4 linked regions of the Rhinolophus ferrumequinum genome follow. The protein of the gene in region 2 interacts with the protein of the main gene of each other region in a pairwise test. Links are inferred from orthologs where the notes say so. Each region holds a gene or a part of one and is shown on either strand. Other genes may lie near its edges.

Region 1 (7,258 bases), on a different chromosome or scaffold from region 2:
TTTTGGGGCTCTTTTCTACAGTATAAGAAATCTGATTTTGTTTTTTTTTTTTTTTTTTATCAGTAAGGTTACTAACAGGTCAAACATTCTGTGAAAACATTTCCATCAAACAGCCATGAAATGTTCTGAAATAAGTTTGGGAGCCAGGTGCCTCTGACAATTGAGTAGTTTAAGAAATTTTCATGAGAACTGAAGCCATATCAAAACAAATCTTTATTTTTGTTCCTATATGTGAATGTCACAAATAACAGGCATATCGTGCAACTTGGCTTCTAATGGTTGGAAAAGAAATGAAAGAAGTAAATTGTCGTTCTTGGCATTTTCCCAATGACATTTGCATTTTCATTTCTATTAGAAGTCCATTTTAGCACAGAAATGTAGCCTTAGTCACCTGAAACTGCTCTTCCCTAGAAAACAATCGTAAATGTAATAAGCCAAAAGAATAGAAAACGCCAACAGGAAAGAACTAATCCACCTGGGCTCAGATTCATCATACAGACTGATTCAGTCTTCCTCTGACATTCACATTCAGGAAGGAAAACTTGGAAATTTTCTAAATTTTAGGGTATTTAAGATTTAAGAGGAGTGAGGGAAGGGAAGAATTAAATTACAATCCCACTGGGTAAGAATCAAGCACAGATTTCCCCAACTCTCAAAAACCATTTTACGTGTTTAAATCACCTCATAGTTACTGAGTCCCTCTTCTGCGTAAGGTAGAAGGTTGTTATGGAAAGAGACAATAAGGTCATGATTGCTTTAAAATATTCATAATAAAAACACATTTTCAGACTTGATTCTAAATGTTAAACTTAAATTTGAGCAATTTAATTGCCCATTGAATAGAAATGAAATCCCACCGGTAGGCAGTTATTTCTTCCAACCACTGTGTGTGAAATTGAAATCTTAAGATACCATTTCAAATATTCACTTCTCTAAGGAAGTTCTCCCCAAAGAGTTGTGAAAGATAAGAAACTAACCCAAAGTCATAGGCAGTAATCGCTCTTTCTTTGCACTTGGGTCAAAACAGAAGCATATTATTAAAAAGAAACTTTATGCGCCAGAATCAGCCGTTCAATGGTTACCTCCTGGAACCCAAGGATATATTTATTTTAACAACTAACTTGAGGCCCATACAAAACTGTAGCAAGAAAGTAGTAACTTATCAGATTTAATCAAAACAAGGAGATGCAAACATATCATCTAGTCACCAAGATAATGAACATTAAGATGGAAAATGTTTATATGTTTTGTTGAGCAGCAATAGGCGGTAAGGTAAAGGGACCCTGCTCTGTTTGCTGTTTAAAAACAGAGTTATTTTGTAATTTGGGTGGGAAATTCTTATCTGAAACCCCCATTTCACCTTTAAATTTAATTTCAAGCTTGCTTTGTTTGTTTGTTTACTTATTTATTTATGAGGTATAATTGGCGTACGTTATATTAGTTTCAGGTGTAAAATACAATGATTCAGTATTTTTATATATTGTGAAATGATCACCACATAAGTCTAGTTAACATCTGTCACTATACATAGTTACAATTTATTTTCTTATGATGAGGACTTTTAAGATCTACTCTCTTAGGGGCAGCTGGTTAGCTCAGTTGGTTAGAGCGCAGTGCTCTTAACAAGATTGCCTGTTCAATCGCCACATGGGCCACTGTGAGCTGTGCCCTCCACAACTAGATTGAAACAACTACTTGACTTGGAGCTGATGGGTCCTGGAAAAATACACTAAAAAAAAATTTTTAAACAGTTTAAAAAAAAAAAGATCTACTCTCTTAGCAACTTCCAAATACGCAATATAGTATTATTAACTATAGTTTGTCTAGTCTGTGTAGACTGCACATTACATATGTAGGACTTATTTGTTTTATAACTGGAAGTTGGTGCCTTTTGACCCCCTTCACCCATTTTGCTCACCACCCCCCCAACACACACACACATACACACACTGGCAACCATCAGTGTGTTCTCTGTATTTATGAGTTTTTTGTTTTGTTTTTGTTTTTAAGATTCCATATAAGTAAAATCGTATGGTATTTGTCTTCCTCTGTCTGACTTATTTCACTTAGCATAATGCCTTCTAAGTCCATGTATATTATCACAAATGACAAGATTTTATTCTTTTTAATGGCTGACTAATATTCTATTGTATATATGTATAACACTTTATCCATTCATCCACTTATGGGCACTTAAATTGTTTCCATATCTTGGCTATTGTAAATAAGGCTGCAATGAACATGGGGGTGCATATATCTTTTTGACTTAGTGTTTTTGTTTTCTTCAGATAAATAACCGTATGTGGAATTGCTGGATTCACGCTCTTTTTAAAATCTCCCAATGATGTCTTTTGCTATAACATAGCAGCTGCCAGTTATATGCCAAGTGCTTTCCATGCATTAAATCTCATATTTATTATTACCCCCACCCCACAAAGTCTATGTGCCACACTTTGCATGCATTCACTTATTTAATCCTCACATCAACTGATACAATGGGTCTGGCATCCCCATTTTACAGATGAGGAAAATGAGAGTTTCAATTCCTGCTGTTAGCCCAGGTTCACACAAGTGGGAAATGGTGGATTGGCAGGCAGGCAGTCTGACTCCAGAGTCACAACCCAATAACTGCCTCCTCAGATTAAGTAAGCGTCCAGGGACTCACCTCTGACTTAAACCACCTTTCAGGGTGAACTCATCCAGGCCCTTCAGTGCCATCTTTAAAATGGGAATAAAATGTCTATCACCATGGTCCAGACGGTTCATAAAAAAACTATGGATTCTGAAAGTGCTTGGTAGTTTCCTCTTTACAAGATTTGTGACTGGTGTCATGTACAAATAGGCATTTAATAATAATTTCTGAATGTGATCATTTTCAAGGAACTCTGATGAGGCCCAAGGGACCCAAAGTTTTTCTCTAACAGAGAGCAGACTATTGGCCTCATCTTCTCCCCTTCTGCATTTCTGCCTCTTCCTAGAATTTCTCCCTGAGGTTGGAGGGGAAACCTGAACTTCAAAATCAAGTCTGGCTTCTTCCCTTTCCCTGACCCGAGGCAAAATAGTCTCTTGATCATTGCTCTTGATCATTGGAAAGGCACTTTCTCTGTGCAGAGTATTACTGGCACTTTATAGGGGGCCGGTTTAACCGCAGGAGTCCGATTTTTAAAAGATGCTGAGGGAGGGAATTCTGCTGCCAGCAGATGGAAAGGAGACTCAGAACAGCTTGGTCCCTCCCAACCACCCTCCCTCCGGGATTAGCTGCCCTGACACTGCTCTGGCGTACCCAGCCCGTGTGGTCCCTGCTCGCACAGTTCCAGCCGCCTGTCTAGAGCGCGCACGCAGTCACAAGCCCGCAGCCAGCAGAGCCGCGCTGTCCCGGGCATCCCCGCGCACCGCGTCGGCGGACCTGGGACCTCGAACCCCGGACGCGCGCGAAAGCCATTCGGAACGCTTGCATTTCTGTATGTGCTTATTTCACATTCTTGTCTTTTCTTTCTTCCCTGAGCGGCCCGCTTGTTACTTTCAGTCTTAGTTAGCCAAAAGGGAAACGCCGAAGAGGGGAAGCCCTGAGAATTGATTTAGAGGCAACCCAGCCGCCTCTCCAAGGAGAGGTGTTCACTGAGCGACTCTCCCCGTCCCCGACGCGGGCCCCTTTAAGAAGCCAAGTCTGTCCTGCTGCTGCTGCTACTGTTTGTATTGCAAATCCCCAGGAGCCCCGTTTAAAAAAAAAAAAAAGGAAGAAAAAAAGGGAGGGGGGGGACCGGGCAGCTGTCTCTTTAAATGTGATTTCCTTCTATTGTATTTGAATCGTGATCAGGAAAAAGGAAATGAAACCAGAGACAGAGGGAAGCTGAGCGAAAATAGACCTTCCCGAGAGAGGAGGGAGCCGGGGAGAGAGGCAAGGTCCCCTCCCCGCCCCCAGGCCGCCGCCCCCTCCTTGCCCTCTGCGGCGAGCTGCGCGCCGCGACCCGGGCTGAAGGTGCGAGGGGCGAGGGGCGGCCGGGCGGGCGCGCACCATCCCCGCGGGCGGCGCGTCGCCGGGGACAGCGCGCGAGCCGAGCCGAGCCGAGCTGGACCGGGTGGCGGCGGCGGGACCGGGATGGAAGGTTAAGTCCTGAGCAGCAGCTGCTGCTGCTGCTGCTGCAGCCGCCCCGGGCCAGGCTGCGCGCCCGGTTCCCCGCCTCGGCCGCGGCGCGCCGGCAGCTCGGTGATTCGCTCTCTCTCTTTGGCGTTTGAAGGGAGCGCGGTGACTGTCCTTGATCGCGGAGGGGCGAGCTCGCCGCCAGAGCGCCAGAGCAAGAGGAGGTGCAAGAGCGGCGGCGGCGGCGGCGCCCGAGCACCGGAGGGGGTCCGAGCCCCGGCAGCCGGCCAGCCCTGCGCCACAAAGGGAGCGCCTCCGCCGCCTGGCACGCCACCTCCCTCCCCAATGTCCTCGGCCATCGAGAGGAAGAGCTTGGACCCGTCTGAGTAAGTGTGGCGCTCCTGCCCCTGCCACCCACCGCGTCCACGGCCTCGCGCCCCGGGGCAGCAGGGTGGCGCCGGCGGCCAGCTAGAAGGCTCCAGGTGCGCGCCCGCAGCGTGCCCTTGGCTCACTCCGCCTTGCGCGGGGCTCCCCCTGGCTTGCGGGTGACTCCAGGGGCACTGGGAGAGTGGCTCGGCGGCAGGCGGCAGGGAGAGGAGGTCAGCCCGGCGCCTCTGTGGGCCCCTCTGGGCTACCTGGAACACTCCCAAAAGCCGCCGCGGGCCAGAAAGTTTACAGGGGAGCAGGCACAGCGGGGAGCTCGGAGGCGCGTAGGTGCCGTCCCGAGAGCGTTCAGGGCTTGATTCTTCCCCTTTTTCCCCACGAAGCTTGTTCTCAGCCCCCTTTCTCTTTGTCCATCTGGTCTTGGACAGGGGGACATTCCAAGTGGATTCACCCTGAGTCCCCACCGGCCCCCTTCCCGGCCCGCTGGTTGAGCAGTCGCCAGCACAGTCAAAGACGGGCGGATGAGGGCTGCGAGCGTCCACCTCGGAGCTCGCTTTGGCCTGCAGAGACTTTAGAGCAGCTAAATCCGGAGTTAATCTGGGTGCATGTCCCCCCTCCCCTCGGAGTCCACCGATGGGGTCCTTGTAAACCTCGAAAGTTAGTGCACATTTTGTGTATAGGTGAATTTTTCTGGGGAGCCGAGTCTTACATCTTTTATCACAGTCTACAAGGAGTCAGGGAGCCAGAGCTCTAACGACCGCTTGCCGCATTTGTTTCCTGAGCCTCTTACTGGTTTGAAGTGTTTCCCTATTCCCAACCTATCTACCTCCAGCTCATTCCTTGGTGTTAACAGGGGGAGAAAGGGTTGTTTAAGATATTTTCCCGTCAGCACAAATGCCCTTTTAAGATTCATTAGCTGTCTGGTTTTGAGAAATTTTATTCCTTTGAAGTCCCCCATCTAATCCTTTGAAGGGATTTGTTACACAGACCAAAGGAGCTGGTTAATGACTTGTCCATTTGTGCTTTTAAGAGGCATTTGTTTTGTTTTGTTTTCTTTTCTTTTCCTGCTTTAAAAGAATTGTGCTTTCCTGATTGAAGTTCTCCCCTCCCCCGCCCCCACTCCAGTTTCAGCCTTCTGTGGTGTTTATATACCTGGGTTTTACCCTCAGTTACCAGCATAAAAGCTCAGCGTGTTCTCATAAAACACAGGAAGTACCATGATCCAATGAGAATATAAACATCACTCTTCAATCTTGAAGGTTCAGACACCATTTCTATAAGGAGCTAGGTTTGTTCTAACAAAACCCAGCTTCCTTAAGTTCTCAGGAGAAAAATTATATATATATGCACAGACACTGGGTTTAAAGGGTGGTTTTCTCACTTTTTTTTTTTACAAACCTAGAATTACAACTTAGCTCTGGAGTTTTCAGAGCCTGAGCAAGACCACAGTAACGCAGTAAGTGAATTGGATGAATTGGTGCCTAATGCCTTTTCAAATAGCAGAACTTAGTCACTAATCTTTTTATTAGAAGATAAATCTGGAGGTTTTGGTGCCCTAAAGGAAGTTTGCTCTTTTCAAAGTTTGTGCTTTTCCACTAATATTAGAAAATGGAAACACCCTAACCTCATAGCACAACAGGCACACACTGAAGGGAGCTCATCTATTCCATCCTATGTGTCACTATTTGCCCAGTGAAGGCAGGTGCTGATGGAAGGTAGTTTTAAGAATTACTGCAGCACATTTTTTTCCCCTCACTCAGAAATTGTCGAGAAATTATCCCAGAAATCCAGGCTGACATGTATTTCAGGTATAATGTATAGGCTCTAGAAGAATATAAAATATTAATTTGAGGGTGAATCCCACTCGGTTATTGGCTTGGAACATCCACCAAAGATAATGTGATATTATCGTTAATTACAGAAAGACAGATAGAGCCAATATCTTAACCTGTTCTTTCCTGTCTCAGGCCATCACAGTAGCTTTTGCTTAACTTCTCTGCTGTGGAACCCTATCCTACCAGATGCTTTGTTGTGTACTCACTCAAAGCCCACTTGGGTTAGTGCGATCCACATCTCCAAATGACAGATAAAAACTTGCCTAGGCATATGCAAATGAAACATTTAGACAGAAAGACAGCCAGAATTCTTGGTCCTGGAGATTTCCTCTGCCACACAGTCGGTGGCCCCCAGCATCACCCGGTAAATAACAAGAGCAGTTCATTTTAATTCCTGGCAGTTTGGCACCAGCTAAGTGCAAATTCTCCTCTTTCACAGTTGGTTGGCACCATCAGCATCAGGGCATCCAGCGGTGTTAAAGTTCCCTCAGTGTTTTTGAAAGCCCCAAGTAAGACCAGGCACTGTAGAAAGAGAAGAGATGCAGTTCTGGGTTGATGCGCATGGAAAATGCTGGGTATGTTATTTTTCAGAAAAGAGACTGGAAGTCCTTCCGTCTAACCTGTGGGGGAAAAAGAAAACCAAGTCAGGCGTCAGGGAACTCTTAAAACTGTTTTAAAGTCTTGAGTTTTTAAAAGAAAACTGGCTTGGGTTTTTCCATTTCCTTGTTCTAAAAGGTGATAATCTCATGAAAGACCCTTATATTCAGTCTACAAAATGTGGGCTTGGTTTTGGTATGCCTAAAGAGTCAGGAGGTGTGCACTTTACAAAGTCATCTGAAGCTGTCAGAGTGTGTCATCAACACTGATTACCTGAGCCTCCCCGTCCCTAAGTGTAATGGGTGCTGAGCTCTGTGGGCACAGGCCAATCAGGACACAAGGTCACCCGGTAAATTAGTGA
Region 2 (7,472 bases):
ATATTAGGCATGACGGTAATTTGGTATTAAACTCTAAGCACATTAGCAATTATGGTACAATGCACTATTACTTTCCAAGTCTCTGCAGTAAGTTTTTCATCATTAATGGTTTATGGTTTTTTTTTTCTTTTCCGTACAGAATGTGTCATTCTCAATAGCAGAACTTCAAAACAACCCAACCATAGAATTTTTACTTATATGCATTTAAATATGCATTCCTGATGGCTGACTCTATCGGCCTACACAGGCGTAAGAATTATATAATTCTATAGGAGATAAGTGAATAGGTGCTTATAATGCTGTGCTTAATCCGTAGGAAACCAGTCTTTCTAAACTCCAGATTTCTATAATAACAATAAAAGAAAACAGAGGCTTAAATCCTTGTCTAATTCATCAAAGTGTAATTAAAATTCTATTGTCTGATTCATTCTCCTTTATAGTCCAAAGACAATTTCTGTGGTGTATTAGTAGACGTTGGAATAGGATGATTGCTTTCCTAAAACATATTTATACAATTACATACATGAATTAGTAATGTGCCTAAAATAATAGGTATTATTGCAATGGATCTTCCTTGGTTTTACTTTTCTATCAGTAACTTTGAAAGCAAGATTTGAAAATATGCATAAAATACAGAGGCTCAGCAATCCTGAATTCATTAGGGTGATCAGCCATCCTGGTTTGCCCAGGACCAAGGGATACTTAGCGCTTTAGTTTGAAAATCAGGACAGTCCCAAGCAATTTTAGTATTAAAACTAGGACAATCCCAGACAAATTGATAGAAGTTGGTCATCCTGAACCAGGATGAAATGGCACAGGAGTGAAGACAGTGTTGGGAAAAAGAACTTTTTGAAAATCTGTTTCCTGCTTTTGCAGGATTTTCTAAGTGACTCCTCTTTCCACCTCCCCAGCCCCACAGTCAGGCTAGTTAGTGCTAAGAACACTCATTTCTTTGGATTCAGAACCAAGACAGCAGCAACAGTTGGAAGTTCTGCAGAAGGAAATGAAAGGTGGGGGAAAGGTGGGGGTAAGGGACTGAGCTGTGTATTAAGTGATCTGGATTTGAGTCCAGGCTCTACCATTTATTAGATGGGTGATTTTGCGCCTCCATTTTCTCAAATATAAATGGAAATAATGATAATGTCTAACTTGTAGAGTTCCATGAACAATGTTAGCTATGCATTAAGAGTTCAAGAAAGTATTAAATAACTGCGTTATTTAATATTTTATTCAATAATTCTGAGGTTTATTAAGGAAGGCATAATACTAATCCACATTCATGAGGGTTGGATACAAAATTGAAGAGTAATAATATGCCACAGGTTGGTTTGGCTACTGGAGAAGCTTTGCTTCTATTAGAGCTATTACAAACAGATTGCTGAAAAGTCGATTGTGAGTGGACTATGGAATTCTAGAGTATAAATTGGGTTCCTTCAAATTTGCATTGTTCTCTGTTTTAGCATGTATCATCAAGATGTCATCCCAAATAGGCAGTGAGAGAACTCAGTATATGTCATTCCACTTTACTCCTTTCCAGATTTATGGTAGCTACTTCTTAATGAGTAGAAAATAGACTTGTGCCTGATCTTTGATCTTAAAAATTTAGCCAACTACATTAACTATAAGACATACAGTAAAATTTGTCTGCAGGACCTTGATTTTTCACATAAAATTTATTCTGAGCATTTACCAAGTACAATGCAAAAAATGTTTAAGAAAATATTGGAATCACTCAAAAGGTGAGATGGAAAAATCAAGATCTAATCAGCCAGTTAAGAACATCATTGAAAAACGTACATAAAATATTTATTTCGACTTTAAGAACGTAAGAGGAAAGCCTAGAATTTTGATTTTGCATATATAACTATAAAGTATTTAAAGTATTATAAAGATACAATTAAATTATTCTTAAATTATATAGGCTAATATAACCAAATATATTTTTATACCTTGAACACCTTTCAAAGTGTAAGTCAGTTGTAATAGTTGTATCTTCTTGGTCATTTACTTTGTTTGCACTTATTAAAACAGATTCTTGACTTTTAATATGGGATTCATCGTGGAATATTTTGTATCACAAGACTTCCATTTAAAATGAAAATGTAACATGTACGAGTATATATCCTATAATTGTATCTAGATGTGATAGCTTAAATAGTGAAAAATATTTATATAATTCAGTGTAAAAAAACATCGCTTTTGTTAAAAAATACCCGAATATTTTTTGGTTGAAGTGCAATTTTTTTATGTGGGGGAGGGGGAAATGCTTTAGTTTCTATTTTCCTTTGTACATGTATACAGTCTTTCTACAAATGAGAAAGAATATCCTCTACTTTGTGCTGCTTGAAGACATTAAGTAACCCCATTTAGTCCTCAAATGAAACTTCAAATATAACCCTGCTTAGCAGTTATCTAATGATATTCCTTATACATTGCTTTTGATGTATTTTTAGACATAAACTCTTGGCCTCCTGGAACCCTATAATAGATCAATAGAAAAAAAATCATTTAGTTTTAAACATTTTCCCATGGAATTAAAGAATTCCCATAGGTTAAAAAGATAAGAATTTGGCCTTTTGCCTGGGAAAGGGAAAATATCACAGGAGCTCTTTTAGAATAGTGTCACTTATACAAAGCCACAGAACTTCTGCTTGGTTTAGTTTTAATTAAGACAACAATAATTCAGAGCTATCATTTCCTGCTATCAGTATTTATAAGTTATTCATGTTTTGTTCATCACAAATGAAAATGTTTTGAGAATTATCCACTTTGTATATTACATGTCCATGTTGGAAAGCAGAAAAATTAAGTGTCTTAAGTCATCTGTGTTGAGAAAATTAGATCATAATCTGCATGGAAGAATGTTTAAGATTATATATCCTTTGTCATTTACACCTCTAATTCCAAACAAATACACTTTAAATAAAAAAGCTTGCTACCTTGCCTGTGGCTAGCTGGTCTTCCCTTCCCTTCCCTTCCCTTCCCTTCCCTTCCTTTCCCTTCCCTTCCCTTCCCTTCCCCTTCCTTCCTTCTTCATTCCTTTTTCTTCCTTCCTTCCTTCTGTTCTTCCTTCCTTCTTTCCTTCTTTCCTTTGTTTTTTTCTTTTTCAGCTTAGATAGGAAAGTTTTGTATTCAAAAGTAAAAGTGAGCAAGTTTGTTTTGAGACTAATATACGTCCTTGGCTAAGTTTAGATTCCAGTGAATAGTTCTGGATTCCAATTCAGTTTTAAACTATTGTCTATCTACTTTGTTTAGTTTCAGGGAATTGCCAAATTCAGCATTGAGGTTTATAATACTGAGTGTCCATGAATAGTAATTAGAGGGCTGCTAATAAACATACTATAAAATGGGATGAGTTGGTAAAGATTTAGATAAATATTAGGAATTTAGTTAAGTATAAAGTAAATATTTGGAGATTCTAAACATGTCTTCCAATGATGGCAGAATTACCCTTGGAAAAAAAGGATGCTACCTCATAGTCATCGTTGTTGGAAATTTTGAGTGGGCAGGCATGGAGTGGGGTGCTATAGTGTACGATTTATTGCAGCCCAACTTGGGTCCCCCTTCTCTTTATGATCTTCCCTCTTTTTCAAAGTTTGAGTCTTGCCATTCAAGTGGAAGGGTACAGTCCTAACACTTTGGTTGTCAGGGCAGTAATATTTTTAAAGGTATAGTTCAATTTTAGGATGAACTTTTTGAAGCTCAGTAATGATTCCCCCCCAACCCCCCCACCCCAAATTAAGCAAAGGGAAGTAGCAATGCCCATCTATGAACAATTCTGCAGACACTAGCTCAGGATAGTGGAGAAGCTGAGTAGTCTTTAGGGTCCAAACCCATTTTGGCCTGTACCCTAAAAAGAGTTCATTAACATAAGTTTTGAGGGGTGAGAGGTGAAAGGGGAGTCATGAGCGGGCAGAGAGTGGCAATGCTGAGGGAGAAAAGGTCAAACGTCCCACCCTCCAACCTCCCTTCCCCAAAGGCACCTGGGTGTTAGGGGGAATCCCTCCCAGGCATGGATTGGCTCTTATCTCCTGAGAGGCAAGTTTCTTTGCAGCGTTAGCCACCTGTGTGCTGCACTGCCGGTGGGAAAGGTGGCTTGGGTGAAGGGAGAGCTCAGCCACATCGCTCGGGAGCCTTTCTTGCTGAGGCTGGCGGTCCAAATACCTCCAGAACCCAGAGCGTTTAGGATGCAGAGTGCGTTCTGCCCGCTTAAATCGCCAGGATTGTAGCCCGTTGTCCTCCAGACCGGTCAGCTCTGGAGCCGGCTGACACCTCCCCAGTTTGCACAGGGTCCTGGCTGTCCTTTCTCTCACCTCCCCACCCCCAAAGTGGTGCTCCTGCCTCGCTCCGCCTGCTCGTCCCCTGGCGCGCCCCACAGGGTTATCAGGCTCCCCACACGCACCGCTGGCTTCCTCTGGCGCCCGGCACGAGCGACCCGAGCAGACCAACCACCGCCTGGGAGCCTCATTCACGTCCCCTTCTCCCGCTTCCCTGCCAGCGCGCTGCCTGCTGCTCTCCCCCGCGCTGCGGCGCCCACCGTGTGTCAGGTTTAATCCCGGGTTGGACCTGCTGCTTTGCTCATCCCCACACTCAGCCTCTCCGTCAGCCCCAAGAAGTGGAATCTGCACTGAAACTCTCCGTGGCTGGAGCCGGCGGACTGGGCATGCTCAGAAGCCAGGGCTGGCTTTGGTCTCAAGTAGGAAGCTTTTGCACTCGGGAGGCAGCGGCGACTTTGGGGAAAGTTGATCGGAGAGGGGAGGAAGCCCCAAGACGCGCAGCAGCGGCAGGAAGGAGCCCCCGGCAGCCCGGAGGAGCATGGGCACCCTGCGGGATTTGCAGTACGCGCTCCAGGAGAAGATCGAGGAGCTGAGGCAGCGCGATGCCCTCATCGACGAGCTGGAGCTGGAGTTGGATCAGAAGGACGAACTGATCCAGAAGCTGCAGAACGAGCTGGACAAGTACCGCTCGGTAATCCGGCCCGCCACCCAGCAGGCGCAGAAGCAGAGCGCCAGCACCTTGCAGGGAGAGCCGCGCACCAAGCGGCAGGCGATCTCCGCGGAGCCCACCGCGTTCGACATCCAGGATCTCAGCCATGTGACCCTGCCCTTCTACCCCAAGAGCCCGCAGTAAGCCGGGGTTGCGTGCCGGGGCCATGTGGCACCCTGTTGGTGGGGAGCGGCGGGTGTCTGTGTTGTCTGTCGGCCCCCGCCCCTCCCGCTTGCCTTCTCTGTCCTCATCCTCAGAAATGTTTCATTTCTGGCACCACTTGCGGGGCCGTGCACGTTTCTAGAGCCAGACTCCCTGCACCTACGTTGCCTTCATGTCTTTGTCAGATATCAAGCTATTTTTTAAAAAAAATCTGTACATGTACATTCATATATGCCAACTACTGATTATAGAGTTTGAATGTGCCCCAGGTGTGTGTCCGGCTGTGTGTGTATGAGTGAGTGTGAGAAGCTGAATAAAAAGCCCCATCTCCCAAATGCCTTGGCATAGCTGCCCAGCCGGAAAACCCTCAATGCCGGCTCATCAGACTTGAAATGAAATGCGTCTGATATCATCCTTACTTTCTATGTTTTGGTGGCTCTTCCGGATTTCTCTACATGCTGGCAGTTTACGCTGGTACCCTTCAAACCTGATCTTCTGTCATCATCAAAGTGTCAAAAATAAGCAAATGTGTATATAAGAGGGCAGCTTTTTTGATTTCCTGAATTGGATGGCATTTGCAATCCACAAATGGAAGCTTAGTCTGTTGATTTAAAAAAAAAATTTTTTTTCTTTTTCCATAACATCTGAGGGAGAATATTGCTTATTTTCCTTAAGGAATTTGCATTAGGTTACTCATGGGGCACCTCCTTCTCCAAAGGGGGTTCATGTTTTCAGGTTCAAATATAGAGAAGTACACTTACTTACCTTTATTGACAACGTAGACACACTATTTGCCTTACTCCTTGCTTCTGATGCAACCACCCTAGTATTGTTCTAGCATTTTAGAGAACTACGTAGTTCTGATGTCAGTGGGCTTCACAACTTGGGTGGGGAAAATTGAATGAAACTTGTTATACACCACTCAAGTCAGAGTTCTTATATAAAGTGGTAGGAACGTGAGATTAACATAGAATGAGCACCCACATGGATGGTGTTTTAAATTAACAGATAGTGGCACAATTGGCAAAATGAAGGATTTTGATGCTCTATTCCAAACTACATCACATTGGCTAGATAGCATGTTACATAATCATACAAGGTCCCTTGGAACCCTTCACTTCATAAAAACAAAGAACTAATATAAGGAGAGAGAGAGAGTAAATACTTGATTATATCATTTTGTACTTATTGGATTTGAGAGAGCTTGAGAGTATATACTAATTCCACTTTTGAAAACTTAAAGTTGTACCTATACTTGTTGGTTCCTGAAGAGCATTTGTTGTTCGTCATGCAGGTTTAGCTTAATGAGGGGTTCGTATTTTGTGAGAGAGTGGGGAAAAGACAAGAAGGATAAACATTTCTGAGATTCTGACCTCATCAAGTTGTCTAATAGTTCAGTAGACTTAGATCTGCCTTGGAAACCTGAATGGTTTCTATATTCACTCCAACTTTCTCTGCTAAATTAATTTGCAGTCCTGACATGCTTGCCTGTTTTAGCTAACGAGGTACATGGCCATCTCTCCTGGGCCAAGTTTTGCATAATGAAAAAAATAACTCAAAGACAGCTCTCTGGATCTTTAAGCATTCCACAGGATCTCACTTTAGTAACTGCAGGACTTTGGAGTAACACAGAGCAAACTCTGCTTTTATAAAAAGACCATTTTAATAGGTTTTATAATAAAGTATGATCAAGCCAGCTGATAATTCCAGTTAAATGTTGTATCAGACAAGATCTAAAGGAATCTAGAAAGTAGGGAAGGACCTGAAGTTTTAGAAATCTCTTAGTGCTTGACATGAAGAACAACTAGATTTTTTAAAAAGTCCACAGTGGAAAATGAAATTAGTGTGGCATATAATTCTGTTACAATTAACATTTTATCTGTCGAGCAATTCTCTGCATTCTGATATTTATTTAATAGCTTGTGCTTTAAAGAAGTCAGCTATTAAGGTATCACCATGATGGTTTCGGTAATTCTGAAAGATTATATTGAAGAAAATGATAGAATGTCTTCCAAGCTTAAATAATTTTGGAAAAACATCTGTTCTTTTTTTCACACTTACATAAAGGAAACTAGAATAAAATTGGCTTAAGTGGTAGAGTGTACCGCTCTTAAGAGAAAGAGAAGTGCAAAATTATTATTCTCATGTCACTTGAAGGATTGTGCAAGATAGCGCCACAAAAAATTAGGAAAATTTGCCAGAGAAGCCTCGTTTGCATTTCAATTTATTTTACTATAAAAAATTGATTATATTGGATTGGTGCAAAAGTAATTGTGGTTTTTGCAATTATTTTTAAACTTTTAAACTGCAGTTACTTTTGCACC
Region 3 (7,595 bases), on a different chromosome or scaffold from region 2:
GGACCGAGGTGGCCTGAGATAGAAGCCTCGCTCGACACCTTCCAGCTGTGTGCCCCTGGACATGTCACTTCACCTCTTTCAGTAGCAGCGCCCTCATCTCTATCCCATGGATTAAATTAAATAGCAATCCTAGCACAGATCCTGGCAAAGGTAGGAACTCAATTTATATCGATTTTCTCTCCTCCTTCCTTTTACAGTTATTTACTTACATGGGAACTCAGTTCTGTCTCTTTCCCCTGATTCACAGAACTCTCCAAGGCCTGGGACAGAGTCTGGGGGCTCCCAGATCTCTCCTTCCCATCCTTCCAGGCCTCTGCTCCTCCTCAGTCAGCAAACGAATCCCTCTGCTGACTTCCAAGCCACAGAAAGGATAGTTGAGCAGCAGACCAGTGACTCCATGGGTCTGCCCAGGAGAGGTGCAGGATGGGGAAGGGGCAGATGACCTGAGGCCCCCACCTTGCATCCTCTCAAGCCAGGCTAGAAGCATCTGATCATCAGGCACACATACATAATAAACCCAGGGCCCTGTTTAACCAGAACATACTTTATGAGCCTTACGTCCATCTCCTCATAAGAAAAAGAAAAGAAAGACCCTGAGCACTTAGTTCACTCCCAGCATCGTCTGGGTATAGAACACACAGCGGAGCCTGAAGCGGGGTGTCTGCTCTCCCAGGGCTGTTTCCACTCCTGCTGGAGGTGTGAGGTGCATCCATCCACGTTTATTGCCAAGACTTAGAGGAAAGAGGCAGGGACTCTTGGGGACGCTGAGAACCGTTCGGGTAGTTCAGCCCCTCAGGCACAGAATCCTCTCCCAGAGACTCACAGAACCCCTCACCCTGAACTCACTGGTCCCCCTTGCAATTAGTTTCAAGTGGAAGGTATTACATGGCCCTAACTATTCTCATCCAAGATACTAAATCCTCTGCTATGTCACGTGGCAGCTAGGTGACCTTGGGCAAGTAATTGAACATTCCCTAATCCTAGTGTCCTCGTCTATAAACATCCATCCCTCGTAACATTGCAGGAAAGCACACATGAAATCACACAGGGAAATCAGACACAGTGTTGGAAGAGTCCATGCTCCCCCACTACCCTCTCAGAAATAGAACCACCTGGAGATGAACAGAGCATGGTACTTAAGAGTGGACCTTCCAGACATGGGCTGCCTGGGGTCAAGTGCCAGCTGTGCTAAAATGTCCCCATCTCTAAGATGAGGGTAGTAACAAGGATGCCCGCTTTGTAGGGTTGTGGAAGTCTTGAATTACTACATGGGACGTGCTTAGAACAGAGCATGGTGCATAGCAAGAATGGCATGTTTGTTTTTTTTATTTTTCTTCCAGAAAATAGGTTGATGGAGATCATTGATAATGTAGCAATTAGCACTTGTTTATATCTACCAGACAATCTTAGAGAGTATGCAGCTATGTCCTACTTACTACCAAGTATACAGGAAGGTATATTAGCTGTGAATACACACACACACACACACACACACACACACACCACTAAATTATGGACTGAACAAACATGATGATGACAACTGGTTTGTCCATTAGGTCAGAAATCACAAGACATATTCAAAGCAGGAGTGTACTCACACTAGCATTGGAGTTAGAGTTATACAGACTTGGGTTAGAGTCCCAACTCTGTTCTCTCTTAGTGGTCTAACCTTAGGCAAGTCACTTAGCCCAAGTTGCATCCCCATAAAAGTGTTGGGGCAAGGTTGGAGGAGTGAACTCCACCTGTCTCACCGGCCTGTCATTGCCCCCTGGTGGGTACAACGTAATCTTTAGCAGACTCTGACTCCCTAGTGCTCCCAGCCTAACAGTTCTAGGAAGCTTTCTCCTTTTTCCTGCAGGAGACCCAGTTCAGACAAGCCCGTAGGCTGATTTGTCTCCCCCTGAGAGTCCTAACGAGCAGACTGAAGAGCATCAAAACAGCAGCTGCCTAGCTCTGGGAGGCAGGAGCACTGGCCAGGGGTTCTAGACCCTTTTCTCTGTTTATTCAAACTGCAGAGCATCCCTGGGCTTTACAACTGTTTACTGAGCAGAAGGAAGCAAGACAGCTGGGCAGCCCTCTCTGGTTTCCACTGGCCTTTCTTTTGGAGAAAGCCAGCCTGAGTGCCGCTCACTCGAGGAATATCTTTGACACTGAGCTCCTGGAGGTGAGCAGGGCTTGGGGCACAGATTGGGCACACGCAACCCCTCTAAGGAGCAGGGAAAGAGCGCGGGAAGGGAGGGCAAAGCTGGAGATAGAAGTAGAGATGGGGACAGATAAAAACAGGAGCTCTGACCAAAACACAGGACAGGAGGGGCAGAAACAGAAACAGAGTAGGTCAAGGATGGAAACAGGGCTGGGCCAGCACAGGGCCCAAGGTGGACACAGGGGCCACACCGAGTGGGGGTGGGGGAGCAAAAAGAGGGGCAGTAAGCACAGAGCTGAGCTGGGAGAGGGGTAGCAGGCAACGCAGGCTTGTGTAATCTGGGGATCCTCTATTGCCCCAAAAGGGCCCACAGGAAATCTGGAGGTGGGGACCTCCAGTCAGAACCCGTTTTCACCCTAACCTGTGCAACGCTTTCCAACAGCAAGCAAAAGGAGCACGATTTAGTTTAGTTAGGACTGGCAAGATTCACTTATTTAAAAATTATGACATAAAAATACTCAGCTGAAATGCCACCCCACAAGCCAACGCCCCTGCAAAGTTAAAGTCAAGCGCCCCCATCCCAGCTCCCTGTACCTTTAAGGAGAAGTTTCCCTCCGCTTCCCGGCTGAAGAGGCAGGTTATTCTTGGATATAGCGATGACTTACCTAAAACTGAGTTACTCCCCTTCCTCCTCTGGCCAGCCTCTCTTCACTCTGGGGAGCTTTTACCATTTAAGGTCAATGTTACATCTGGCTCCGGAGCGGAGCTCCGAGCTGAGAAGCCTCTGGCTGCGAAGCCTCGGCCGCCCGCCTCCTCCGAGAGGGGCTGGGACTTAGAGCCCAGAGCTCCTCCAGGAGCCCCCTCGGGCCGGGTTCAGGGGACTAACGTCGGGGGAAGCTGACCAGACCCTTCCAGGGCTCGGGGCAGGCTGGGCCTGTGAGGCAACAACTCGCCCTGGAGAGGGCACCTGGTTCCCCGCCCCCCCCACGGGCACCCGCACAGTGGGTGGCAGTGCCCATGGGCAGCTCGTGTCACTGGGCGCTGTCCTGGCTAGACCGGTACCGAGGGAACTCTGCAGATCAGCCTCCCAGCCTGGAATCTTCAGCAAGCTTGTGAGCCTGGACAAGACCCTGGCCCCACGCCAGGAGAAACTAGGAACATTTCCTGTCCGGAGATCGGGGGGCAGGGGCTGCTCCCACCTTAAACCCTTGGGATTGCCAGAAAGAAGGGCCTAGAAGGTTCAGCTAATCGGAGACCGGGCACCAGCCCCAGGGACTTCAATCCCTGCTCCTCTGCTGAACAGCCCTGTGATCTTACCATCAGGGAAGCTCAGTGCCCTGGTCTCTAGAGTGGGGATAATAGTGATAACACCTAACTCATAGGGTTGTAGGAGGATTAAATGAGATAATATTGGGGGGGGTCTTAGCACAGTGCCAGCATCTCATAAGTGCCAATCGGCACACATTCGTTTCCTGTCCGTGCCCAGACACAGGTGAGGAAGGGCTGCCTCTCTCCTGGAAGGCCACGCCCTGTCCCTACTCCTCACCCACCTTGGGTGCAGTGCTCACCTGGAGCCAAGATGATGGAGCTCCAGGTTCTGGGCAAGTCACGTGGGAGCTCCAGCCCTCTTCTGAGGTTAGAGGCATCTGAGAGAGAAGCCCTGGGTAGGCTTGCCCAATAAAATACAGGACACCCACTTAAATTTGAACTCCAGATAAACAACACATAACTTTTTTAGTATAAGTATGTCCCAAATATCGCCTGGGACATACTTATACTAAAAATATGTGGGTTTCTTTTTCAATCTGAAATTCTAATTTAACTGTGCATCCTGTATTTTCATTTGCTAAACCTGACAACTCTAGCCCTGGGCCATCACATGTCACCCATAATGTATTCATCAGTCATGCTGAGAGTTCTAGGGATTGATGCTTCAAGGCCTGTGACCTCAAGCCATTCTGGTGGTGGCCGCTTGGCTGTACACAGTCCTTATCCCCAGCTCCTGGCCATGGGTCAGAAACCCCACTCATGACAGTCTTTCTCCACCAAATCTGGCCCACGGGGCCTCCATCCCAGCCCCTTCCACGGGCATCTAGTCCTGGACTATCTCTCCTCCCTGGTTGTTATGAGAGAGTCCTGATGAGAATGCAGGGCGTGTTGTCGGTTACACTCATAAATAATTGTATTTTTGTAGATGGAAGCAGAGGAGATTGTCCTGGGTACTAGCCATGCTTTTCCTCAGGTATCTATACCTACCCATCTGCTGGGTACTGGCTCCTACTGGCAAAGCCACATGGTGCTAACGACTAGAATTGCAGGTATAGGGACTAGGAATTTACCAAACTCTTTAACACCATTTCTCCAAATTCATTGTGCATTAGAATCCCCAACTATGAAACTCCTTGGATCCCTCTTCCAGAAATGCTAATTCCATGGGTCTAAAGTAGGACCCAGGAATATGCATTTTAATTAAGACCTTCAGGTGATTCCAAGGACCACACACTTTGGGGAATTGTGCGCCAATGATCAATCTTATAAAAATCCAGCAGGAGTTACTACAGAGACAACCAGAAACATAGGTTGAAATGGAACCATCAGCTTTGCGTACATGTGAGGGAGAATGTGTATGTGTGTGTGTGTATGTACAAACTGTATATTGAGCATCTACTTTGTTCCAAACTACAGTATTAGATTCTGTATATGAAAGCATGTATGTCTCCTCACAAGTGCTCCATGAAAGAGAACTATTATACGTTTCCATCAAAAAGGAAACTGAGACTTGAAGAGGTGAAATAACTTGCCTGATGTTCCACAGCCAGTAAGTGGTAGAGCTAAGGTGTGAACTTAGGCAGTTTGGCCCTGCAGCTCTTTCCCCTATACCATACCTCCTCCCCTTCAGCCAAGATTTCTTAAACTAGGGTTCGTGGATAGCTGTCAGGCATCACTGAGCCAACTAAAATTGTATGCAAAACACCATGTGATTTGTGTTTTTCTTGGGTATAGGCCCACAGCTTTCACCAGACTCACAAAGGAATCACCAAATAACTTTTAAAATCAATTTATTAACACAAGAATTTCATAAAATACATTACTGGAACAAGCTCTATAGAAGACAATTTAGCATTATCAAGATTAAGTCTCGTATCCTTTGACCCAATTCCACTTTCAAGAATTTATTCTACAAATACACTCTCACACCTGGGAAATGACAACTGAACAAGATTATTCATTGCAGCTTTGTGAAAAAAGCAAAAGGATTAGAAACAACATAAATGTCCACCAATTGGGGGCCATGATGGGGTACAACCATCACAAAGGATAAAGAAGCTCTGAGTACTGATATGAAAAGCCTCCAAGATACATGGTTAAGTGGAAAAAGTAAGATAATAGAACAATATATAAATACACACAAAAAAATATACTTACAAGTTCAGATAATTTAGTTCACGAACTCATCCTAGAAAAAGTGCTACATATCTCATTGCTGAATATCACTATGGTCACCTTCGAAGTACTCCCCTTGGGAAGCTATGCACTGATGCCAGCTCCTAGTTCTCCCTTCAAAGTAGTTTTGGAACTCTTTTTCTGGAATGACCGTCAGAGCTGTCGTTGTATTACCCTTGATGTCCTGAATGTCATCAAAATGTCTTCCTTTCAATATTTCCGTTATCTTTGGGTAAAGAAAGAAGTCATTGGGATCCAGATCAGGTGAGTAGAGAGGGTGTTCCTATACAGTTATTTGTTTTCTGGCTAAAACTCCCTCAGACAGGGCTGTGTGAGCTGGTGCATTGTCGTGATGCAAGAGCAATGAATTGTTGGTGAAAAGTTCAGGTTGTCTAACTTTTTCACGCAGCCTTTTCAGCGCTTCCAAATAGTAAACTTGGTTAACTGTTTGTCAATTTGGTACAAATTCATAATGAATAATCCCTCTGATATCAAAAAAAGTTAGCAACATTGTTGCAACAAGTTCGTGAACTTAATGGTCATACTTCCTATATTCACACATACACACTCACAAGTATATATGTGTGTGTACACACAATCTCACTAATATTAGCACAAGAACCAATAATATTAGCTGCCCTTGGGGGAGAGGAACTAGTGGAGGGAAAGAATATCTATCTTACTTAATATATGTGAGGTTTTGAATCATACTGGTATGAATAAATCGTGTGTTTACATTCAAAAATAATGAAACAAAAACATTGCTGTGAACAGGGATTTAATCAATCCATCTTTCAGCACGGCTTCCTCCAGACATCAAAGAGTGTTGGCATAAGCCTGACTAAAGGTATTTTTTTTTCACTTTTTATTTTGGAATAGTTACAGACACATGGACGTTTTAACAATAGTACAAAGTGTTCCACGTACCCTTCACCCAGCGTCCCCCCAGTGGTGACATCTTATATGGCTGTTGTATAATATCAAAACCAGGAAGTTGGCATTGGTACATTACTGTTAACTAGACTATAGATCTTATTCTAAAGATTATTTTTAAAATAAAGCCTTCTCACTGCTCGTTTATTCATTTAAAAATGTTTGTTGTGCCAGAAGAGTGTTGAATAATGGGATGCGGTAGGGACACCTCAGACCCATCCCTGCCCTCATGGGGTGTAGACTAGTGAAGGTGACCCCTTTATTCAAGTGGGAATGGCCTCACAGAGGCCCAGGATCCAGCAGTGCACAAGCAGGGCTGACCACAGCTCTAAAAAAGGAACTGTGTCCCTTGCTGTCCTGGTCATGGAGCTTCACAGCTTGCCTGAAGCTGACTTTTCGTCCTTAAAAGAACATGAGCAATTACTCAGGCTATATTTATCCCTGTTCCTGGAGCCACACAGGGATTTGGCCTCGCTCTACCAAAATCTTCAGCTCATCACTCATGCCCATCGGAGACAATCATATGTCCTCAGCATAACAACAGTGGGCTGGTGGAGGCACACTGACACACAGCATGGGGATGTTCTCCCCACAGGCCATTTGACTCAAGGCCAGGGAAGTTTTAAAGTCCCAGGCCAGAAACACATCCTAGGACCAAGGGAAGCCAAGCCAGGAGCAGCAGCATCTTGCCAAGAGCACTGCCCGCTCAGACACTGAGTGCTGAGATGACCACACTGGGAGATTTGACTTCTCTGCCCCATTTATACTTAGGGACTCTGAGATATGCTCAGCGTTTAGTAGGCCCTGGATGAGTAAGTGAACAAATCAGTAGCCACATCAGCAGGAATTGCATCCAGGAGACAGTGGCAGGTGTCATTTACTGAACATGATTCCAGATACTGCGTGAGCCACTTTACATATAAGGTCTAGTTCAGTCCTCACCAAATCTACGTGATATAGGACTTCTCACCCCCACGTCCTAGATGAGGAATCTGTGACTTGGAGAGCTGGCCAGTGTCTCAGTTTGTAAACACAGATCTGACTCTAAGTCCTCAGGTGTCGGGTTCAGGACAGC
Region 4 (7,513 bases), on a different chromosome or scaffold from region 2:
CACCCATTTTAAGGATAATGGGAGTCTTATAAGGTTTTGTTGAGGATTAAAGAGATCATGAATGTAACATCCCTACCACAATCCCTGACATGTAGTGAGAGTTTTTAAAACAGTTGATGGTCTACCCTTTTCTTCTACTGTGTTTCCCCGAAAAGAAGACCTAGCCAGACAATCAGCTCTAATGCATCTTTGGGAGCAAAAATTAATATAAGACCCGGTATAATATAATATAATATAATATAATATAATATAATATAATATAATATAATATAATATAATATAATATAATACTGGGTCTTAATTTTTGCTCCAAAAGACGCATTAGAGCTAATTTTCGGCTAGGTCTTATTTTTGGGGAAACACGGTAGTGCCATGACTGATTCAGGTCCAGAGGTCAGGTTTTGCGTTTCCTGGCCTATTACACTTCCTGCCATACCTCAGCATTCCTCCCACACTGTCCTCAGACTCTGATGGGAAAATCTTTAGGGCAGCAGGCAGAGCACCCGAAGCAAACCAGTGACACTCCTCTGCTCCCATCTTGCAGGGATGAGGAAGGAGAAAATTGTACTCCCATGATTAAAGTGATTGATGCTAAATAGTTAGAAGTAGAGCCAGGGAACCATGCAAGATAATGGGCAAGATACCCTATGGTGATCACTGCAAGTCCCCCTGCTGATTCCCTGCTGACAGCTCTATTTCCAAAAAAATAACAAATAAAATGAGGCTCCTCAGACCCGAGGATTGAAGTGGGAGCCCATGCAGAACCATGATACATCAGCTCAGAGGGATAGTGATTACCATTCAGACTTTTCTTCCAGATAATAAATGCATCACTGAGTTGCCATCAGATACTGTGCCAAAGATAAATGATAACACTTGTGTCCCTTTGGTCGAGGGGACCTGAATCAATGCATCATTTTGAGATGTGGCCCAAGCTTTTTATTTGGTCTGACCTTTCTCTGTATATTTAAAAAAGACTGAAATAATTTAAGTAGCATCTCATTTTCCACAGCCCTCCTTCTAAAGGCCATGCTAATTTCACTCTTTCTTCTCTGACTTTTTCTTAATGCAGTCTTCCTGAGAATGGACTGGCCCATCCATTAGCCCTCCAGGTAGATGACTAGAACTCCATGGCATATAAGGGTCACCTGGCTTCTCCACTCACTCATTGGGTGGCCTGGGGCAGGCACTCGCTGCAGTTTAGTTTCCTCCACTGTAAAATGGAAAAATACACCTACTTCATAGAACTTTCTTTGTCAAGGGTTAAATGAAGTGACAAATATGAATTAACCCTACACAGAATAGACAAAGGTAGATTGTAAGCTATAGTAGCTATAAGAATAACAAGATGGTAGAATGCTCATTGTACTTATCTGTTTTTCCACTTTAATCACTCCCTTTCATCTGGTTTCATTGACACTGTATTTCTTCTTCCACTTTCCAAATAGGCAATAATTGTCTATTGATTTCCCGGAGATGTCACATTTATATAGAAATGTCTATCACCTCTGCCATATTGTGTTCTTCCAGTCACCTAGGTTTACTTTACTCCCCCTCTAATCCATGCTCAGTGCCCCACCCTGCCTCACACTTGCTGGTCCCCACCAGGGACACTCTCCTCACTTCCCACCTCCACGCTGGGTCTGTTTCCCCTTCATTTACCCATTCACAAAAGGAGAATAGAAGTGTAATCTCATAACCAAGAAAAAACACAGGTAAATACGCCAACCGCAAATCTTAAGTGAATTATCTTTACTAAGCATAAAATTAGTTTTATGTAAAAAAGAAATGGATATATTTTATTTATTTATTGCTCCAGGTGTTGGGGATATAGCAGGGAACAAACAGAGCCTTTGCTCTCATGGAGCTGGCATTCTTGGAGTAAAGTTGGGGAGGGAAGAGCAGGTAATTAGTAACTAAATCTATCATATGCTAGTTGCTGGTAGAGTTATAAGAAAGCGTAGGAGAGGTAAAGGGATTCTGTGATGTAGGATTAGTTGGGAAGGGCTCTCTGATGAGGGACCATTTGAACATGAAGCACATATAGCAGGAGTCTTGCAGAAAATCTGGCAGAAAGTATTCCAGGAAGAAGGAACAGCACACAAAAAGGCCCTGAGGCAGCAGAGGGCTAAAATATCCCTTTCTGACACTCAAATTTAAAATGTTCCCTTTTTCTCGGGGCGCACTATGCTTTTCTTTCATAGCATTTACCTCTGTTTATGTTTTATATATTTCAAGATATCTAATTCACTTAACTAGTCTCCCCCTCTGGATTACAAACTCTGTGAGGGCAGGCACCATATCTGTTGCTGTTTTCTGTCATTTGTATATTCAGAATTCACTCTCCTATCTGGTTAAATCATTGAATGAACTGATAAATTTAAAATCGTCATTAATGGCATTGTGTAGTAAATCACTCACAAAATTTATTTTGTCGCGTGAGAATTTTCTTGGGGGTCGGGAGAAATCTCCTCTGAAGAACTGGCATGTTCCTTTTTCTCAGCTAATGAGCACAAATTGAGTAGAATATATTCATTTCTGTTTTGTGTAAAAGGAATTTTATGCTCAGTAAGGAAAATACACTTAAGATTCGGGGTTGGCATATTTACCTGATGAGGAGATTGCATTTCTATTCTTTTATTACTAGTTTTCTCTTTTGTGTAATTTAATTAAGATAAGCATCAGAAAGTGATATTTAGGTGGGGAAGGAAGAAATAAAGGGAGGGAAGCAGGAGAGAGGAAAAACAATATATTCCTCTTTATGGTATCACTTGTCACCCAGAGTGACACTGCTTTGCAAGTTGGGAATGTAGCTGGCTTTAAATGTAGCGATAGCTGCCTGTGACTAGCGCTTGGCAGGTATCAGGACCAACGTTAAGTATTGTACATACATGATCTCATTAAATTCACAACAGGCTATCGGGTAGATAGCAATAGCCTTATTTTACAGATAAGTAAATTAAGCCTCAAAGAGATTAAATAACTTGTCTTAAAACAGAAGAAAGTAGAAATGAGTGCCTTCTACTGACTTGGACGGGGCTGTCAGAATTAAACCCAATGGTTCTGGTCTCCCCGCCCCCTAAGCGTCCATCCCAGCTTGTCAGACAAAGAGAAGCGAGTCCCTCCAATAATGATCACTAACTCACCCCAGGTCTTGACAGGGGTACTTTACGAACATCTATCCCCTTACTGCAACAACCCCTGACTGAACGAATGCACATTGAATGGTCTTTATTTTAAAAGACATTTTGTTAAAAAATAGCACAACGATGCATGGCACCGATTGTAAACTGGGAAGTTGGATGGTGGGAAGCCACTCAGACCTGTGCTAAGAAAGGGGATAATGAATTCCGTGTTGGCAATTCTGAGGAAACTAGAAGAAAACACCTGGATATTCCTATTCGTTCCAGAAATGAAACAGATCCCTACTTGATTTCACTGTGCGGTGGGGTATTTTCCCCGCGCAGTTCGCCGCGCCGGTCTTGGGAACCTCGGGGCAATCCCTGGGACTCTGATTCACAGAATGTGGGCCCAGGGGAAAGGGGTGGCTCCCACAGGCACACATGCACTTAAACACGCCGCCCGCGGTTACAAATCACAGACAGGCACAGGAGCAATCGCGTGCAGTACATACACAGAAGTGTGCACTTCCAAACACATACCTCACCCGTCACACCACAAACACAGGCGCACGCGACCTCACACACTTCTCCCACTCGTGCCCGCACACCACACACAGGCGCGCAACACGCGAGCTCACACATGCTCGCGCACATGTGCACATCTGCGCGCACACGCTTACACTCGCGCTCACACCCTCTTGCGCGTGCACATACCCTCATTCACATACACACACCGCGCGCACACCCTCACACCCGGAGTACACACCCTCTTGTGCACGCACTTATAGCGTGCACAGGCTCACCCCGCTGAGCAGCGAGGGGCGGGGCGGGCGGCCACTGGTGCCCGGCCCCTGGTGGCCAGGAGAGGGCGCGGCGCGGTGGACCGCGGTGGACGCTGGAATCCTTTGCCCTAGCCAGGGCGTGGAGACGCGAGCAGCCAGCCCCGCCAGCTCTGGCTGCACCGTGCTGGGCGGCCCCGAGGGAGCGTGCCCCGGGTCACGCCGGCGCCCGCGAGCAGAGCGCGGCAGGGAGCGCGCCATGGACCGCAAAGAGGGCGCTGGCGAGGAGGATGACTGCGTGGACTCGGGCGCAGAGACCGGAGGGTGAGCCGACGCGGGCCGTGGGCGGGGGGCGCTCTCCGAGTTGCGCGGCAGCTCCTACCCGGCCCGGGACCTTCCTGGACCCAGCGGCCGAGCGGGAGCTGCCCCTCTCGCCGGGTCCCCAGGGAAGTCAGAGGGTCTGTGGCGGGCCCGCGCCCCCCCAGGCCGCCCTTAGAGCCGAGCTGCGTGGTCCATGGCTCCTGGGGGCAGGATGGACCCACCCCAGGGATGGGGGAAAGTGGAAAGACTTACGGTTCAGAATACCCGCCTCCACAGGCCCCCGCCTCAGCCCCTCTTGCCCTCCGTTATTACTGAGATGATGTGGAGTGCCAGGCAAATGCAGTGTCCCCGAGATCATCGTTAGACAAACAAGGGATGCTCTTGCACTTGTTTCGTGAGGACTTTCTTCTTGTATCTCCCGAGCCCTCTGAAGTCCGGGGTGGGGGCTTGGGCATGAGGAAAAGAGGGTAGGACACCCGGCACCTAAAACTCTTTCAGAAGTCGTCTAAGAGGATAGCATTTTTCATTTTATGGCTTTCCGAGATCCCCCACCCCCAACTCCTCCACTCCCCCGCCGAACTTCCTCACCTCTTCGAGCACCTGCCCCACCCATAACTATTTGCCTTAGGTACAGGTGGAATAAAGATCGTGGGACGAAGACCTATTTAGAGAAATGTTCGCTTTAGAGTTTGAGTTCGCTTCAATGGACTCAAACAGTTACCCCAAACCTTCAGAGACTAATTAGCCCTCTCCCAACAAAACCGGTTTCCTGAATGTCTCTTAGGAGGTGAAAGTCATTGTAAAGTCTTCCATCCAGCCCCTATCTCTAGAGGATTTCCCTATGCAGAGTCAGCGCCATGTCCAGGATGCCTTTACCGACCCAGGAGGAAAGGGTGTCTTTTCCTGTCTGGGGGAGGGCTGGAGCTGCCCAGACAGAAAATCTCCATCCTGGAAGGTTGGGAGGTTTAGACTAATTTCAGAGGTTGGCAACATTGTGAGAGTGGCAGAAAGAGAGTCCAGGTCCAGAATGGACCCATGGGTCTGAGCAGTCCCAAAGAAGGGCTCCCTACTCAGCCCCCTTCCTGCAGGCCCACCCCCACTCTTCTTTGCAGCCTCCACTGCCACTGTTAGCCCAAATCTGGGACTTTATACCCTAAAGCATTTGCCCTGTAATGGACTTTCCCTGTTATCCAAATTTGTGATCCTCTATGGTTCAGAACCCAACAATATTCCAGTGGAGTAACCTGACTCCAAATACTGAACTCCCTTACGTTTTCCCACACTTTGTATGTGTGGCATTTATCAACTTTAATTGAAGATCCTTAGCTTTCCCCCCACTCCTGCCTCTAGTTAGCTGGACCGTGAATAGAAGAAAGCAAAATTAACCAGCTCATTTTCAGCTAGGTTAAATAAAGCACCAACTAGTCCATTTGTTTTCAATTTTCAGAGCTCACCTAAAACAGATATTTTTTCCAAGGTCTCCCTCTTGGAGAAATGAGTGGAGAGGAATCCCTGACCCAGGAGGGTGACATCACCCCAGGATCCCAACGAGCAACATGACAGCTGCCAGGACTCCTGGGAATGGCTTTGCTGAACAGAGCATGTTTCCCTGAAAATAAGACCTAGCCGGACAATCAGCTCTAATGCATCTTTTGGAGCAAAAATTAATATAAGAACTGGTCTTATATATAATATTATATTATTGTCATGCAGGGTGTCATGTGGGGTCTCAGTTCCCGCTCCCCGCACAAGAACACAGGATACGGTGAGGCCAAAAAGAAACAACAATAGAGCCACAAATAGGGGAGTCATACCACTATATTCTCGCAGGTGGCTGGGTTGGAGACGCAGGAAGCAGGAGCCACAAGATCGGCAACCTGCCGTCCACTTCTCTGCCAACCAACCCCTTGCTAACTGCAATCTGCGCTTGCTAGCTCAGTCACGGCAGTTATATCAGTGGCTAATGGCTAACCAGTAACAGCTGATGGCCAACTAGTCACAGCTGATGGCCATCTACTACCCAAGCCAGCACCTTTCCTCATGAGGCCGAGAGCCTGGAAACTGCTCTCCTGGCTCTGTCCCCACAATTATATAAGACCCAGTCTTATTTTACTATAAGACATTTTTACTATAAGAATTGTTGCTTCAAAAGACACATTAGATCTCATTGTCTGGCTAGGTCTTATTTTCAGGAAAACACAATACTGACACCAGAGCTTCTATTCTCTGCCTGTCACAAAAGTTTGCAGTTGTAACAGGACAGAATTATTTAAAGAATTCTTATTGCCTCAGTAGCAGCCTTAAAGATACAGGTAGAATGGCCTGCATTTAAATAACATAGTTTCTGTGTGTGCTTATTAGTCTTGTGTTTGCCACATATTCACAAATCCCTTGAAGTTTCGTTTAGTTATCAAAAAGCTGTTCATAGTTTCCCTGCTTTTCTAGAGCTTGCCCCCTCTTACCCTATCTAGCTTTCATATAGCTGCCTAATGTTGGGTATAAAATACAGAGAGAACACTCAATATATATTTGCTATCATTATTATTTTTTAAACACAGATCTGATCATGTCTCTCTCCCGTTCAAACTTTTAGTGGCTCTGTCACTATAAAAGGTGAGGAGCTCAGCGTAGCCTACAAGCCCCCATGCTATGGGTTTCTTCTCTCTCTCTCACACACCTTGCTTCTTGGAAGGTCCACCCTTGTACCCTGCATCTAGCCACATCAGCAGGGTGTTTCCAGGTCCTTGCTTTTGTCAAACTGCCCTCTTTGCCAGCTACGCCCTTTTCCACCTGGCATGCCTCTCCACCAGGTGCAACTCTACTCTTCTTTTTCAAGACTCGGCTCAAGTGACACATCCGCTAAGGCAGAGATCCTTAATTTGGGGTCCATGTATTGCCTCAAGCTTATGCAGAATGGTACCATTTGTGAATTTTTATGAGAAGAGACTGATCTTTATCTTTAAAGTAGCCTGTGATTTCCTCCAAACCAAGTTTGAGCAGGGTGTGAGAAATTTCATTTTCAATAGGTTGCGTTTGAGGTGTTGGGAGACGTCCAAGTAGAGATGATGAGCCTGAATGTGCCTACTTACCTGGAGCTTAGAGAGGAGGTATGTGTGATGACATTGCATTAGGGAACTATCTGCCTACAAGTGGCAATGGAAGCCGCGTAGAGTAAAGCAATTAGAGGCAAAAGCAAACACTTACCTAGCATCACTATGTGCAGGTACTATTCTGAGCCTTTCCATTATTTCATTAATTCATGTAATCCTTAGACAACTCTGTGAAGCAGTG

The links.
Region 1: the proteins of PRKG1 (region 2) and LMO2 interact in binary tests that used the Homo sapiens proteins (3 or more experiments, as listed by UniProt). The two-hybrid records come from large-scale screens. The link is inferred for Rhinolophus ferrumequinum from reciprocal best matches to the Homo sapiens genes PRKG1 and LMO2.
Region 3: the proteins of PRKG1 (region 2) and IRAG1 interact in a two-hybrid assay, tested with the Homo sapiens proteins (2 studies listed by BioGRID). The link is inferred for Rhinolophus ferrumequinum from reciprocal best matches to the Homo sapiens genes PRKG1 and IRAG1.
Region 4: the proteins of PRKG1 (region 2) and FAM124A interact in binary tests that used the Homo sapiens proteins (3 or more experiments, as listed by UniProt). The two-hybrid records come from large-scale screens. The link is inferred for Rhinolophus ferrumequinum from reciprocal best matches to the Homo sapiens genes PRKG1 and FAM124A.

The regions. Positions count from the first base shown.
Region 1 is NC_046294.1:23,928,043-23,935,300, forward strand, and holds the start of LMO2 (rhombotin-2), read left to right. Parts: upstream 1-3,821; 5' UTR 3,822-4,099; coding exon 4,100-4,106; intron 4,107-4,238; coding exon 4,239-4,467; intron 4,468-6,739; exon of another isoform or gene 6,740-6,855; coding exon of another isoform or gene 6,856-6,875; intron 6,876-7,258. UniProt on the Homo sapiens protein: Acts with TAL1/SCL to regulate red blood cell development. Also acts with LDB1 to maintain erythroid precursors in an immature state.
Region 2 is NC_046299.1:34,130,859-34,138,330, forward strand, and holds the start of PRKG1 (cGMP-dependent protein kinase 1), read left to right. Parts: upstream 1-4,378; 5' UTR 4,379-4,815; coding exon 4,816-5,126; intron 5,127-7,472. UniProt on the Homo sapiens protein: Serine/threonine protein kinase that acts as a key mediator of the nitric oxide (NO)/cGMP signaling pathway. GMP binding activates PRKG1, which phosphorylates serines and threonines on many cellular proteins.
Region 3 is NC_046294.1:41,872,734-41,880,328, reverse strand, and holds the start of IRAG1 (inositol 1,4,5-triphosphate receptor associated 1), read right to left. Parts: upstream 3,125-7,595; 5' UTR 2,738-3,124; intron 1-2,737.
Region 4 is NC_046287.1:86,533,800-86,541,312, reverse strand, and holds the start of FAM124A (protein FAM124A), read left to right. Parts: upstream 1-4,157; 5' UTR 4,158-4,160; coding exon 4,161-4,225; intron 4,226-7,513.